2 linked regions of the Danio rerio genome follow. The protein of the gene in region 2 purifies or fractionates together with the protein of the main gene of each other region. This does not show direct contact. Links are inferred from orthologs where the notes say so. Each region holds a gene or a part of one and is shown on either strand. Other genes may lie near its edges.

Region 1 (7,502 bases), on a different chromosome or scaffold from region 2:
AAAAACATTTACAGAGGGCCAAAAATAATTTTTACACTACATTTAGATCCAAAATATGATTTTTGTGTGCAAAAATTGTAGCTATAAACTATCATTTTGAGTTTGATTAAATTGTGACAGTCTTATTGTTTATATTGGGAAAAAAGATAACTTCTGAACCATTGGTGGGGTGGGGGTGGAACCTGAGTAACGCTAAAAAAAACAAAAAACAACATTACCCATGATGCCATACCAGTTAGCTCCACTCACTTCACTAACTGATTAAGTCTAGCGGTTTTAACTATTTGTTTAATATAATAATAATAATAACAACAATAATAAACTGGATCAGAAAATATTGAAATAATAGAGTTTGTCTCGCTATGTTCCCACAGCATAAAAGCGTTAAATATTGGTTACAAATTACATCAGAACGATTTTTAGCTCCACCCACTTCCGTTAGGTTTCTGTATCATGCAAAGGGCTTTTAGTTCCGCACACTTACATAATCCAATTCATCTTACTATATTCTCCAAGTATTTCAATATTTATCACTTAAACTCAAAATATTTGTGTTTAAACTACTTATTTGAAATGAGCTGAAACAGCACAATTCTTGAGATTTTTTAGGGAAAACTTAATGGCTTTATGTTCAGTTCGCTTAATTCGTTAATAGTTACTTTAATTGATTTGTGTATTTGTGTATTGTGGGAAAATATGAATGAATTATGTGAAACCTTTTTTTTTTTAAGTGTTTATAATCACCAAAACAGCTTTTTTCTTTCCTCATTAATGCCATAATCAAGTTGATCTCACTTTGTTCTCAAAATATATACATATTTGCTCTTGAATATTCATATATTCAAGGTACACATAGATACTTTTAGCTCCACCCACTTCTATAGCCTAACTGAGGCGCTCTCCATATATTTAATTATCATTTTCTCATTATGCTCGCAAATATCAGTACAAAATTGCTCCTCAAAGCTTTTAGCCCCGCCCACTTCCACAAATATTTCACAATACTCTCACAATACTTTAATATCTGTGAATGAATGCCTCCAAAACAAGCGAAGCTAAAAAAAATGGCGCCATTAATGGATTCCCTCTTATACAACCTACTTGAACGATTACATTAAATAAAAACACTGAAGTACCTCACCCCAGACATGTAGAACCGTTAATTAATTCACACCTGCTTGAGCCCAACTGGGTTACAGCTGTTCAGTACCTGCCTTCCGGAGCGTGTGCAGTTGAGCAAAGCGTCTGTGCTGAGAACTATAACACTGCTGTCTCGAGTGCTTAATCCCAGAAGAGCAAAGTCTAATTAATTAAACGCATTCGGATGAGCCTGAGGAGAAAGAGAATCAGACGCTCGTCAACATCATCATACGTTTGCTTTATTCAATTCTTCCAATGTCAAGAACAACATACAGAGAATTCCAGCTACAAATGAATCCACCTTTCACAACGTCGCACTTTCTTACGCAACATAAAACGAGTATAAAATCGAGCCTAAAATCAACGCACAAGTGTACATGCAGATGAACTCGCGCTGTTGTTAAAATAACGTGGCAGTAATGCATGGCAAAATAATAAAAACGAGCAGATAAAAATGGCATCGTAAAAATATAAATAGGAAAACAACCACTTGACCCTAAAAAAAAAAACATGGTCGTCACAGGATAGGAGGAGGGGCTACTGCATTGGGGGTGGGGCCTCTCAATTACCTGCAGGTGAATCAGAGCAGATTATTATGATGTTCAGATCATATTGAGATATCCAGTGGGGGAAATAAGCATTGAACTTGTCGCCATTTTTCTCAGAAAACATATTTCTAAAGGTACTGTTGACTTGAAAATTTCACCAGATGTTGGTAACAACCAAAGAAATTCAAATCTGCAAAACAAACGCATCTAACTACTATGCACATCTACTTTACAAATTAAGTTATGAGTAATAAAATGAAATGACACATGGAAAATGTATTGAACACATGAAGAAAGGGATGTATAAGGCATGGAAAGCCCAGACAGTAGCTGAAAACTCTCAGTAGTTCTTCAGCAACCCTCTGCCCGTCCTCATTGTAAATGAATGTTAGCTTCTTCAGAACAACGTTTACATTAGCAAGAAGATAAAGATGAAACCGGGGTGGACAATTTAGCAAGACAATGATCCAAAACACAGCCAATGAAACTCTCATATGCTTTCAGAGAAAGAAAATCAAGCTATAGAATGGCCCAGTCAATCACCTGACTTAAATCCAATAGAGAATACGAAATAAAGATCAGATTTGATAGACGAGACCTACAGAACCATCAAGATTTTTACACTCTGTTGAAGTCCGTGTAAAAAAAACACACCTGAGCAATGCACGTTTTTTATTTTTTTTATTTTTTATATTGTACTATTGGCCTTTTTGCCTTTATTAGATGGCACAGTATTTAGACAGGAAGCGTCGTTGGAGAGAGAGAGAGAGGGGGGAAGGGTAGGGAAATGTTCTTGAGCCAGGATTCGAACAAGGGACGCCCTGCTACTGCTCCATATGTTGACGCACCAACCACAAGGCTATTGCGCCGACATGAGCAATGCACGTTTACCAAAACCTGGTTCTATTTCACGTCAACAGCTCCTTTAGAAATATTGTTCCCATAAAAACACATGACGTGTCCAGTACTTATTTCCTCCCTCAGTAAATCAGTGGCATGTGGTTACCTGTCGAGACGGTTGACCACGTCCCGGACGGTGCTGATCAGGTGCTGGTGGTCCTGCGGACTAGACAGGATGAGGCTGTGGAGCTTTTTCATGTAGGAATCGATGGATTCCAGTGTCGGCGTCTCTCCACTGCCTGCAGGAACATGCAAAGATCAGTCAAGACAAAAATATATACTACTTATAGAAGTCTTTCACATGATGCAAACAGCTGATCCACTGAAGAAACATCATTATCATGGGGTTATCTGTAGGATTTGGGCTCACAGTGTATTTATTAATCACATAAAGAGATCTTGGTTAGGGAATAAAACTAATATATCTTTCAGGATGGAACCACAGGCAAACATATTTTTTTATCAAAAATGATCCTGCAGGAAAATGTTTTTATCTAATCATTATAAAAACAAAATTAGTAGATAATTATGATAAAGATAATAATAATAATTAGGAAAATGTAATTAGAAAATCTCCAACTTTAAACTGTTTTTAAAAAATCCATAAAAATCTTTTGAAAGCGGCTAATTGTTGTTGTTCAGTTTATTTTAACGTTTTTTTAAAATATATTTTTATATTGCGGTAATTTGTGTTTTTTTTGTGCTTGGGGTTAAGAAAAACACATGATAAATATATCTAATTATATTAATACTTTTAATATATTCATTCATTTTCTTTTCGGCTTAGTCCCTTTTATTAACCCGGGGTCCCCACAGCGGAATGAATCGCCAACTTCTCCAGCATGTTTAACACAGCGGATGCCCTTCCAGCTGTAACCCATCCCTGGGAAACATTCATACATACTCATTCACACACATACGCTACAGACAATTTAGCCTACCCAATTCACCTGTACCGCATGTCTTTAGACAATGGGGGAAACTGGAGCACTTAGACTTTTGTCTAAGCAAAGTCAGACCTTACTGTCCTAATTAAATAAAAAATCAAGGCATGATCATTTTCATTTTGGTAAAATAAGCGTAATCTAGAGGCCTTTGCTTTTCATATAAGCCACTTCTTATACCAAATGATCAACTAGAAGTCAAGTTATTATTTGTTGTAGATAGACTTTCGTCAGGTAGTGTAGACTGTATTAAATATGTGAATTGCAAATGTATTGTAGGGTCTGACCGGGGAGCGGGACGGTGGAGAAGCTGTGCGTGAGGGCTGAGCGCAGGGTCTCCAGGTGCTGCAGCAGGAGGCTGTTTCGGGTGCGCTCCTGAAGAACATCTCCTTCCAGACGCTCCACAGCGGAGCGCATGCTCTCCACATGCTTCTGCAGCGCCGCGTTGCGCTCCTCATACTCCATATTAGTCTTTCTCAGCTGCCGCATTTCAGCCTCACGCGCTAGAGCAAACAAACACACACACAGTCAATGTCAAAGGCACAACATGTACACATTTTTTCATTAAATTCTTCAAAAAACAACTAGAACAGGGGACTGATTATGCCCCTTTTTACAATATGTAAAATAAGTGGTTATTCAGCAACAAATCAGAGCCAGAGTGTGACTCAATGATGTGATGTAGCAAGTAAACAATTCAAGTGAAGAGGGAACACGAAGAGACTGGCTGTAGTTTCGCTTGATGGTGAGTGACAATTACTGTGATAATAATGATGATGCTAAAGGCCGCTTTGTTTACAGCTTGCTTTGCGCTTGTCAGAAGTTCTGGTTTTGCCGTCCTGAACGAGAAATGTGGACGATGTGGAAAGACACATGCTCTTGCAAAGACACAAAATGTGTGCTCTTGAATCAGTTGGCTTTCGTCCGTTTGGTGTGTTCACGGGCAGCTTTTTGCTCCAGGCATGAGCTAACATGAGGCGACAACCCAGTTGGGTTTTGTCGCTACTAGTTGTTTGGCATCAGCTTGAAGTTTACCGGCCGTTAAGGCTGATTTATACTTCTGCGTCAAGCGCACATGTATGCTCCGGTGCAGCCTTCACACGGTCGCAGACACATCGCCACCGCTGAGGCGCACCTCTTAAAAAATGTGACTACATGTCGTAATGATGCATAGTGCAAGCTCTGTGATTGGTCCGCTTGGTAGCAGTGACGAGTGTGGGCGGTGCTGAGAGCTGCGAGCCCGATGGAGCGATTGTTTACTGTTAAGTGTCGAGTCCTGTGAAGGAGCTCCAGATGAAAACTTTTGTTTTGTGTTTACCTTATGATTAAAGTTGTTGCACGTCCGGCCAGTTCCTGCCTCTGAATGAGTGAGTTTAAGCTACTTGTACATTCATTCAGTATTCAGAAAAACAAAACACTTACAAAGAAACTCAACACAGAAAAACATAACCTACTGCCAGCTAGTGGTTCGGAAGTGTTATTGCAGAGCAACACAAACAGCACACAAAAGTATAAATACATGGCGCCGTGAGTCAAATTGATCCCTTGACACAGAAGTATAAATCAGCCTTAAGACCTTTCAGGCTCAGCCGAAAAGTTAATTTGCTTTTCATTTTGTTAAGTTTTGTTAAGTCTATTCAGAATTGTGGGAGAATCATGATCTCTATGTTAAACAGCAGACAGACTCACACATTGATCAGCGTCTGCTCTCACCTTTACTGTGATTCAGAAACTCTTCAGTGAAGATAGGAATGTCAAACACAGAGCGATCCTTCATCTCCAGATCCTTCTGAGAGAAGAAACAACCTTTGAGTCGTTATGTTACTTATGCAGAACAGTCAGAAATGCACATACAGACCTGCTCAGAATCTCAAAACACTAAACCTTAATGTTTAAATGAGGTGAATTAAGTAGAAAATAAGGAACGTCGTGTATCTGTTTCTTTGCTCTTCTTTATTCTTTTTTACGTACAAAAGAAGTATGGGACGGGTTTCGGTATCAGTAGATACTCAAAATCAAATGACTTGGACTCGAGGGCAAAAAACCTTATCAGGACATCCATAATGCATGCCCGTTAACCCTCTTTTTTTTCCCGGGATTCTCCCGTATTTTACTGTTCTATCCCGCTATCATCCTGTAAAGGTATTTTCCCGCATTTTCAGTCTTTCTCTAAACAGCCGAGCCTCCCTATACGCAACCCATACCGGCAAACCAACAGGGGTCGCCCCTTGCTCTAAAACGTGAGTCTTCTGTGCTTTCGCTTTGTATAGAAATGAAAACACTTATGAATAAATATTAAAAACGGCGCGATTCCATTTCCTTTTGATTACAGGTGCCGTCGTCCATCCTATACAATCCTCAAAAAAGTCATATAATGGTGCATGACTGACAGCTGACGGTGATAAACAGATGCTGTTTCCCAAACTGATTCTGTACACGCGATTTGAAGCGGAGAGAAAGTCTGGCTTTTGGGTGCGTGTTTAAACAGACATACACACATATTTAATAACAATAACATATAAGGTTGTCGATCTTGGTGGGTTTTTTTTTTCAAACACAACTAATTTCGTCTTCAATGAGCATAAAAAGTTAGGAAAGCAGTCAAATGCTGTCATTATAACGTTAGATGTGTGTATTTTTAAAGTGACACCTTATTTAATGTAAAAAAAAATCTTAATAAATAAGAGATTTTTTCGTTGCTGTTTGTGTGTAAGTTATTCAGTGGAGAAATGGCTAATGAGATTCATAGCTTGATTTAGCTATTTTCATTATAATAGCTATTAATTTTAATAAGCTGAACTGTTTGCTAATGTATTTGCTGCTTATGTATATATTTATTTTTCTTTTGTTAATAATAAATGTAAAATATATTACTGACCATTTAACTGTTTATTTACAATGAAACAGCTCCAAATTAACATATTTAGTAATTTGGGGATTTTTTTTTTTGGGTGGGTGGTGGTGGTGGTGGGGGGGGGGGGGGGGTGGTGATCCCTTATTATGGTGGGCATATCCCTTATTTTCACATCCCAGTGATGACAGGTATGCTATAATGCACACAGTTGTAAAAAATGTATTTCATCATTAAAACTACTATAAACTTTTTCAAATAAATTAAATTCACCTGATTTGTAAAACTTTCAGTGTTTTTGGTTATTATTGTTTTCTACAACTTTATCATAGAATACAGTGATTACAGCATCATCCCATAATTGTATAAAACTCTAGCTAATTACATGTTTTCAGAAATCCTGAAGTTATTGTTGACGTTTCCAAGATCCCAGTTTAAGATTCCACAGTTTTTCATTCGAACCTCCAGGCCTGAAACCCACAGTCTCTTGTTTATCCCAGCTTCTCCACAAAATGACAAATGTGTGCAGATTCTGAGCGGGGCATTTTACCTCATGAAGGGATTCACCAGGCGCCTGCCTTCCAGCATCTGATAAACACAGCGACAGAGAGGGAAATTTAGATTTGACGTGATTTAAAGGACCAATTCACCTAAATATATTCACAATGCACATCCATAGCAGGAATAAAAACACTCTGGAGGTCAGTGGCTGCTTTATTATTACTATTAAATATTATTTCCAACATTGTTTAATATATATCATTTGTGTTCAACAGAAGAAAGAAACTCTGTTAGTTTGGATTAATTGAAGAATAAATATTGGGTGAAAATAGGTGAACTGCCCCTTTAAGCTGCACAACATTTCATCCTTTCTGCTTTTGTAGTTTGATCACATTGGTCTAAAATCCTGCTCCACACACACCTTTATAGTAAACCATCAAGTGTGTTCTGATTGGCTGTGTCGTCACTCTTCTCTGACCCATTTTCTACATTCACCACGTTCATTTTCAATGTGTCTGTGTGTTCGTACCTCCTCTGTGCCTCTTTCCTTTTTGTTTCTCCTGCACTTTCCTGCTGAAGTGTTTATACGCTTCGGTTTTCTGATACTGCTCCAGTTCT
Region 2 (8,182 bases):
CTGTGATAAGTAAGAGGTTGAAGTTTATTTTTTTTAAAATACCTCAGCATTATAGCCCCAGCCTTGTGCTGTGTTCTGTCATTTTTCGGACGAGTGCTTCAGCAATCTAATCACTTACAATGGGGTATTCATGGGTCGTTTGGTGTGTGAGACTTTGTCAGAGCTTGACAGGAACTTTACAGTACACAGTTCATGGATTTGTTTCGTCCTCCATTTCACAAGTGTAAGTAAGTGCCATTAAAATGATTGCCTCCTTGTTTTCTCTAGCTTGCAAATTATGTATTTAATTGTGTTTTGTTACTTGTAACTGCTTGTACTGCATCTGGTTAACTGTTTATATTCATATATATCGCGTCTAAAGCCAAATTGAAAACGTGACACGTGCTCGACGCTGAATGCAGTCGACCAATAGCAACAGACTGGGTAATCGGACCAATTAGCATCGCGCTAAGGAGGGGTTTCGAAACAAACGAATCTCTGAACGAATCATATGGGACTCATTGGGATAATTAGGTGAAAATAAATGCATATTATAAGACAATGAAAGTAATTTTTGAATTGCATGCATATCAGACTGTTGTTGGAAACCCCCAAAACCAAAATATGACCCTTTTTAATGCATAATAGGGGCTCTTTAAAATCGGTCATCGCCCCATGCCAACCTGTCATTTGATTTTTTATTTGTAACAAATTTGCAACAATTAAAAAAAAAAATCACATTGTCATTATGGGGTATTGTGTCTAGAATTTTGAGTAAATAAATGCATTTAATCCATTTTGGAATAAGGCTGTAACATAAAAAAAGTAGAAAGAATGAAGCGCTATGAATACTTTCTGGATACACTCTATGTAGGTCCAATATGACCCAAATAAAGAGTCATGGTATATGAAGGGCCAGGCGTTTACTATGTATTTAAAACCTACCATGAACCACGAGTCTAGTTAGTAATTAATATATTGCAACATTCTCTTACAGCCCATGACAATGATAAATCGTCCAATTAGACTAGTGTGACACTGCATTTTTATTTCTCGCTAGAAATTTCAACATGCGGCAAAACTTTCAAACCCAAAAGGGTCAAAGTGTTAGAATTTCATTATCAGGTCGCAGATATTTCTGCACTATAGTTGACAGCAGCCTGATGGGGAAAGCTTTGCGTTAACCTCCAGTCTGTCATGGTGATATGGAGCCATTGCATATGTGACTTCAGTGTTAGTAATGCATTGCAGGAGGTCGAATCTACACGCAGGTGAGAAAAAAAAACAGTGACGCATGTGGTGATGAAGGTCTCATCTCCACCTCAGCAGCTGCTTTCATGACAGGTGAGAAAACCCAAGAAGAGACCCACGTCTAAAAGGGCTAACGGTAGTATAAATAAATATGTAGCCATCAGTCAAATTTTGAACATTTTACATTTATAAGACTTGCCACTACTGCTTGTAGTCATTTTTATATTTAATTGATCCACTAATTTGTTTTTGCTTTTTTACTGTATACAAAACACTTAAATCAATGTTTTATGAAGGGGTTTTATTATTATTATTTACCTGATGATTCTCCAACTTTAAAATCACTGTCATCTGAGCTGTCATAGTCCAGAGCATCCAGCAGAGAGTCAGCCAAAGGCTTCACCTGCCGCCGCTTCGACCCCCGATCCACTAATAAAGAAATAACAGTTCACATTGAAATATACATTTCTTTTAGATAACAGATTGCAGCATAAAATATTTACATAACTAAAATTCACACCATTACATTTAAATCTGCTGCCAATTTGCCAATTTAAAGTGCTAGCAATTTGAAATAATAATAATAATAATAATAATAATAATAGATGAAAACAAATAAAAAACTGAAATAGTCTAAGCACCTAATTTATTATTTACATTTGAATACTAAAATAATTATACAAATATAAAAAGAAAATGTAGGAAAAAACGATATGAAAGAAAAATTCAACGTCTTAAGGAAGAAAAAGTTTGAAGCATATTTCATCTTGCATATTTGATGCATAAGAAGTTAAAACGCACACCTATTAATACATATTTTATTTTATTTTAAAATACATATATATTTTAATTACAGTAATTATATTTAAAAAAGGCATATTATTAAATATTCAAGTTTTTAAAATATATTTTAATATTTTTAATTTCATTAAAATATTCAGCCAGGTTTAGTGAACTTGCAATATTGTCAAAAACACAGAACTTTCAGTTGTTATATATGTAAAATGGACATTCCAACATTTTGCTTTCCAACTATTACTTCTGGTTCCTTTGCATGTTGCAAGTAAACTTGTAAACAAACATCTGTGATCGGTTCAAGAGATCGGCCAGACCAGGGAGTACTAATTGAGTCATAAAATGTGATTATCAGCCGATACAGTATCTACGGCCGATCAATTGGAGCATAGCCAAATTAATATTAGAGTGATTCCTGAAGGATAATATGACTATGAAGACTGGAGTAATGAAGCTGAAAATTCATCTTTAAAATCACTGGAATCAATTATTAAATTAAATGATAAGCTACTTTTGAACATTATTTTAAAGCGCAATAAGATTTTACAATTAATACTGTATTTTGACTAAATAAATGCAGCCTTGGAGACTTTTGACCGGTAGTGTAGATACAAAAAAATAACTACATAAATTAAAGTATTAAAATTATTATTAATAACTACCATCATACCACATAAATAATTAATAAAGCATCAACAATGTAAAACAGTTACAACTAATTACTGTAATGATTTCAACAACAGTGGGAATTCCTGCAGATTAAGCTGAAAAGCTGCACCACCAAAATGTGCATTGATTTAACCATAATAAAACTACACAGACACATATGAAAACTACAAATACCTCATAAACACCACTATGTTTGGTTAAATGGATCTTTCATGCAAAAATGATCATTTACTCACTATTTATTCTCCCTCAAATGTTTCCAAATCTTTATCTGTTTCTTTCCTCTGTTGGACACAAATAAAGATGTTTTAAAGAAAACTAGTAACCACTGATTTCCAGAGTAAAAAACCAAATGCTATGGAAGTTTACAGTTTTACAGGTGTCTTCAAAATATCATCTTTTGTGTTCAACAGAAGAAACTCAAAGTCTGAAAAAAGGGAGAGCAAATATTAAGGTAAAGTTGGTTTTATTTTCGCACATTCATTCATTTAGCAATCTCTATATTGTTTACCAAGTTACTTTGAATATTCGATAGGAATTAGCATGCAAGTATGACTTCTAAACAACATTATTGTTATCTAATTCACTGTGAACAATGTTGTACTTTGATATTCATTTGCTGCTAATATAATTTCCCTATTTAGAATTTGGAAAAAATACTTTCTGAAGTTATATTATAAAGGAGAATGTCTGAATATCCGAATATAAAAATATATTATTTTCCCTACCCAAAGATGAGGCTGTAAAGAGTGAGTAGTTGAAGTTTATTTTTGCAAAAATATCAACATTATAGCCCCAGCCTTGTGGTGTGTTCCTGTGATTTTTTCTGACAAGTGCTTCAGCAATCTACACGCTTCCAACGGGATATTCATGGGACGTTTGTTAAATGAAATATCAGAAAAGACTATTAATGTATGAGACTTTGTCAGAGCTTGACAGGAACTTTACATAGTTCATGAATTTGTTTCATCCTCCATTTCACAAGTACAAGTCAGTGCGATTAAAATGGTTGCCTCCTTGTTTTCTTTAGCTTTACCTTTTTTATTAGAAATCATGGTTTTTAATAAAACCAACTTGAACTAATTAAATATTAAGGTAAAGTAGGTTTTATATTCGCCCATTCAGACTTTCTCCTTAATAATACAATTTCAGAAAAGTTCTCATTGCAATTTTTAATAGGGAAAGCATATTAGCAGCTCATGGCTATCAAAGTACAACATTGTTCAGTCAAATATATAGTGCTAATGTTGTTTTGAAGTCAGACTTGCATGTGATTCCATATCGAATATTCAAAGTACCACGGTAAACAATATAAGGAGCATGTCACAAGCTGTCATTGAACGAATGTTTAACTATAAAAAGCCAAATTTACCTCTAGAAGTAAATGACAATTTTCTTTTTGGGCTGAACTATCCCTTTAACACTATCCTATCATGTAAAAAATATCTTCAATGTCATAAATTTCTCTTTTTTTTTAAAGATGCAAACGACATCAGACTGTGATGATTTCAAAACGTAGTTCAGATCAATCACACATTAAACTGGCTAAAGGTGCAGCACAGCTCTATGACATTAAATAACAGGATGCTGTCATTGTAGGCAACTCACTGATTAAAATACTGCAGGGTGTTTGATTAAAATAAACTCGTTTCTCGGAAATAAAACAAACAAAGATAACATGGTATACACACTAACAACTAAGAACAGCTGATATTATTTTAATGATACTCGGTGTCGGTAAAGCTAGGTGATGGAGAGATGAACTACACATCAGTTAGCATCAAGCAAACGTTCCAGTAGCCTCGTGCTAAATATTAACGCGTATTTCACACATTTCAAACCACAGCAGGTAAATTCTGATGGTGATTATGTTGTGCTATTTGTTCTCTTTCAAAATGTATACTGTAACAGCGAGATTTACTCACTTTGTGTGATTTTCTTGTTTAGCTTGGACAAAGGTACAACGAACGCCTCCTCAGCTCATGTTCTGCGTATTACGTCGATGGTTTTGCGTATCACGTGTACGCAAAGGGCTGACGTTCAGCTCAGGAATGAGGAGTTGGGAACTATGGCAACCGCCGCATCAGTTCTGTTTCATATATTTAACGACGAAAAGATATGGTATATATTTTTATTCTCCTAAATATCTCTAAAATGGGCGGTAGTGCTGTCGCCTTAAAGCAAGAAGGTCGCTGGTTCGAGCCTCGGCTAGGTCAGTTGGCGTTTCTGTCTGGAGTTTGCAATATCTCCCTGTGTAGGTTTGGGTTTCCTCCGGGTGTTCCGGTTTCCCCCACAGTCCAAACACATGCGGTACAGGTGAATTGGGTAAGCTAAGTCCAAAGATATACATGCGCTATAGGTGAATTGGGTAAGCTAAATTCTCATAAAACCATTTGGGTCTGTTGTTTGTCTATAAGACATAAATATTTCTTTAAAAGAAAAGGGTGGCACGGTGGCTCAGTGGGTAGCACTGTCACCTAACAGCAAGAGGGTTGCTGGTTTGAGTCCCGGCTGGGCCAGTTGGCATTTCTGTGTGGAGTTTACATGTTCTTGCCATGTGGGTTTCCCCCAGGTGCTCTGGTTTCCCCCTCAAGTCCAAAGACATGCGGTATAGGTGAATTAGATAAACGTTAACTAAATTGGCCGTAGTGTATAAGTGTGTGAGTAAATGCAATACTGTATGAGTGTCCCAGTACTAGGTTGGGGCTGGAAGGGCATCCGCTGCGTAAAACATATGCTGGAATAGTTGGCGGTTCATTCCACTGTGGTGACCTCTGATAAATCAGAGACTAAGCCAAAGGAAAATGAATAAAAAGAAAAGGTACATTTGTAAATGCTTTAAGGCTTTTAATAAACATCGTTTATCTTTTTCCAACCTTTCATTCATTTATTCTCGGCTTAGTCCCTTTATTAATCAGGGCTCACCAGAGCGGAATGAACTGCCAACTTATCCAGCATATGTTTTACGCAGCAGATTCCCTTCCAGCTGCAACCCAGCACTGGGAAATACACTCTCATTCACACACATACACTACAGAGAATTTAGTGTACCTAACTCACCTGTACCGCATGTCTCGAACCAGCGACCTTCTTGCTGTGAGGCAACAGACAGCACTATCCACTGTGCCACAATGCCGCACTTTTTCCAACCATTATTTTTTTAAATGTTACATTTAGTTAATTGTACAATACATTTTAATGTTGATGTTTCATTTTCATCCCATTTTGGGCCTTTGGAAATTTCTGTGAGTAAAATTAATTGATTATAAGTTTTAAAACATTTAAATTTTAGCCATTTCACTACAGTATATTCATTAATACTGTTAATTCTCAGATTATAAGTTTTTTTGTTTTGTTTTTTGTTTTGTTTTTGAAAATAGGTGAACACAAAGCATTATCACGGTAAAACAAGGCAAATTTAAAATTCAAAACTTTTTTCACGTTAACTCTTTCCAATTTCCAGTGTAGTTGTAATGCTTTAGTTTCAAAACACTAATGTTTTAAATAAACATTACATTTTAGAGTTATTTAATTAATTCATTAATTTTCGGCTTTATCCCTTGAATAATCAGGGGTCGCCACAGCCGAATGAACCGCCAACTTATCCAGACTGTCATTTACACTCATCCACTACGGAGAATTTAGAAAGATTGCCTTAGCTTTACAGTAACTAATAGCTATAAAATAACTATAACTATATAAAAAAATCTTTATATTTTTTCCCATAGTTTGTAATTTAATTTGATAAAAAGTAGCATTTATTTAATTGATTTTAACAAATGTAAAAGTGTTCAAACACAACTTTATAGCAAAATATTATAAGTAACACTAATGTTATAATTATATGCTGTGCTACGGTCTACAAAAAGAGTAGGCTACAAAAAAAAGTATTAATGTAACAGTGAGTAATTCATAATGCAACCAGCCCCTGAAGGCCACCATCACAGTAAAAAGCAGAGAAATGTTAAGCAAGAATCTTTTTGGTGGTTAAATTCAAGACTCTGTAAGGGCTATTTTCTCATATTTGTTGTTACTTAGCTAAAACAAATGTTAATGCAATATTATAATACAGTATGCTCACATTTGCATGTCATGTTTTCTTTGTGTGTGCAACAAACTACATTTTCGTTTAATTCTCACGTTGAATTTCTGTAATTTTTAGTCCTTGTTTCCTGCAAATAATAACTGTGTACACAACCATAAGCTAAAGTAAATATTCCAAGCTCTTTCTGTTATTCATCTCCATTTTCTTATTTTCTCTCTTTATTTGTTGCCACACAATAAGCATAATTTATCATGCACTTAAAGTGAATTTGATTCAGATTACACAAAGAGTTTAGTTCTTTGCTTAACAATTTGAATTAATTGACAATTGTTAATATATATATCTTGCATTCACACACATACACCACAGCCAATTTAGCTTATTCAATTCACCTATACACATGTCTTTGGACTGTTGGTGAAACCTGAGCACCTGGAGGAAGCCTACAGGAACACAGGGTTGGACATGCAAACTCCGCAGAGAAATGCCAGCTGACCCAGCTGGGGCTCAAACAAGCAACCATCTTGCTGTGAAGCGATTGTGCTACCCACTGCACCACCGTGACGCCATATATATATATATATATATATATATATATATATATATATGAGCAATTCCAGCCATATTGATGTGACATTTGGAGTAAAAACTCAAAACATAAATTTGCTTAAAAAATAAAAAAGTTTATATTAACATTTAGACATGATATAAACATTATATAGACATTATACATACATTATACAGAGTTAAGGGACCATAAAAAATATCAATCTGTAAACATGTTTTGTACTTTAAATGTGGAAAATATTATTGGATGTAACAAAAAAAAGTCTGCGGGTTTACAGAATACAACATACTTAGTACAATAGAAATTCTGTAAATTAAACTGCACATCCCAAAAGAAACAATGATAATCAAAAGGAGAAGAGTTGCTCACTATAAACAAAAATGATTGGTTTTATTTCATTTAATATTTTCACATTTATGAGGAAAAAGTGTTGTTATGGATGTGACATCTCTCCCTTATGGATGTGACAGATGTGAAATTGCCACTTGTGTGACTTTGATCAAATATAATAGTTTAAAAACTTAGAAAAGCCTTCCTAAACTATTATGCCCCTGTTTGTTTTTCCCCAGTTTCTGTTTAACGGAAAGAAGATTTTTTCAACACATTTCTAAACAAATATTTTTAATAACTCATTTCTAATAACTGATTTATTTTGTCTTTGCCATGATGACAGTAAATAATATTTTACTAGATATTTTTCAGGACAGTTCTATACAGCTTAAAGTAACTTTTAAAGGCTTCTGTTCTGAGGTAAACACACCCTAAATATAATAAAATGAGTAAAATCAATTAAATGACACCCGTTAAGTTTAAGCAAGCTTCAAAACAATTAAAAATTTGCAGAATAACAAGAAAAATGACTGTTTTTGGGTTGT

Evidence for each region.
Region 1: the proteins of phf14 (region 2) and hmg20a purify together in Homo sapiens (affinity purification with mass spectrometry; 3 studies listed by BioGRID and IntAct, counting the BioPlex papers as one, with this or other methods). This does not show direct contact. The link is inferred for Danio rerio from reciprocal best matches to the Homo sapiens genes PHF14 and HMG20A.

What each region holds. Positions count from the first base shown.
Region 1 is NC_133200.1:8,050,190-8,057,691, reverse strand, and holds the end of hmg20a (high mobility group protein 20A), read right to left. Parts: coding exon 7,414-7,502; intron 6,972-7,413; coding exon 6,934-6,971; intron 5,322-6,933; coding exon 5,246-5,321; intron 4,036-5,245; coding exon 3,820-4,035; intron 2,828-3,819; coding exon 2,695-2,827; coding exon of another isoform or gene 2,691-2,694; intron 1,710-2,690; coding exon 1,706-1,709; 3' UTR 1,360-1,705; downstream 1-1,359. UniProt on the Homo sapiens protein: Plays a role in neuronal differentiation as chromatin-associated protein. Acts as inhibitor of HMG20B. Overcomes the repressive effects of the neuronal silencer REST and induces the activation of neuronal-specific genes.
Region 2 is NC_133194.1:40,760,355-40,768,536, reverse strand, and holds the start of phf14 (PHD finger protein 14), read right to left. Parts: upstream 4,686-8,182; 5' UTR 4,621-4,685; coding exon 4,620-4,620; intron 3,122-4,619; exon of another isoform or gene 3,064-3,121; intron 2,979-3,063; exon of another isoform or gene 2,932-2,978; coding exon of another isoform or gene 2,931-2,931; intron 1,660-2,930; coding exon 1,549-1,659; intron 1-1,548. UniProt on the Homo sapiens protein: Histone-binding protein. Binds preferentially to unmodified histone H3 but can also bind to a lesser extent to histone H3 trimethylated at 'Lys-9' (H3K9me3) as well as to histone H3 monomethylated at 'Lys-27' (H3K27ac) and trimethylated at 'Lys-27' (H3K27me3).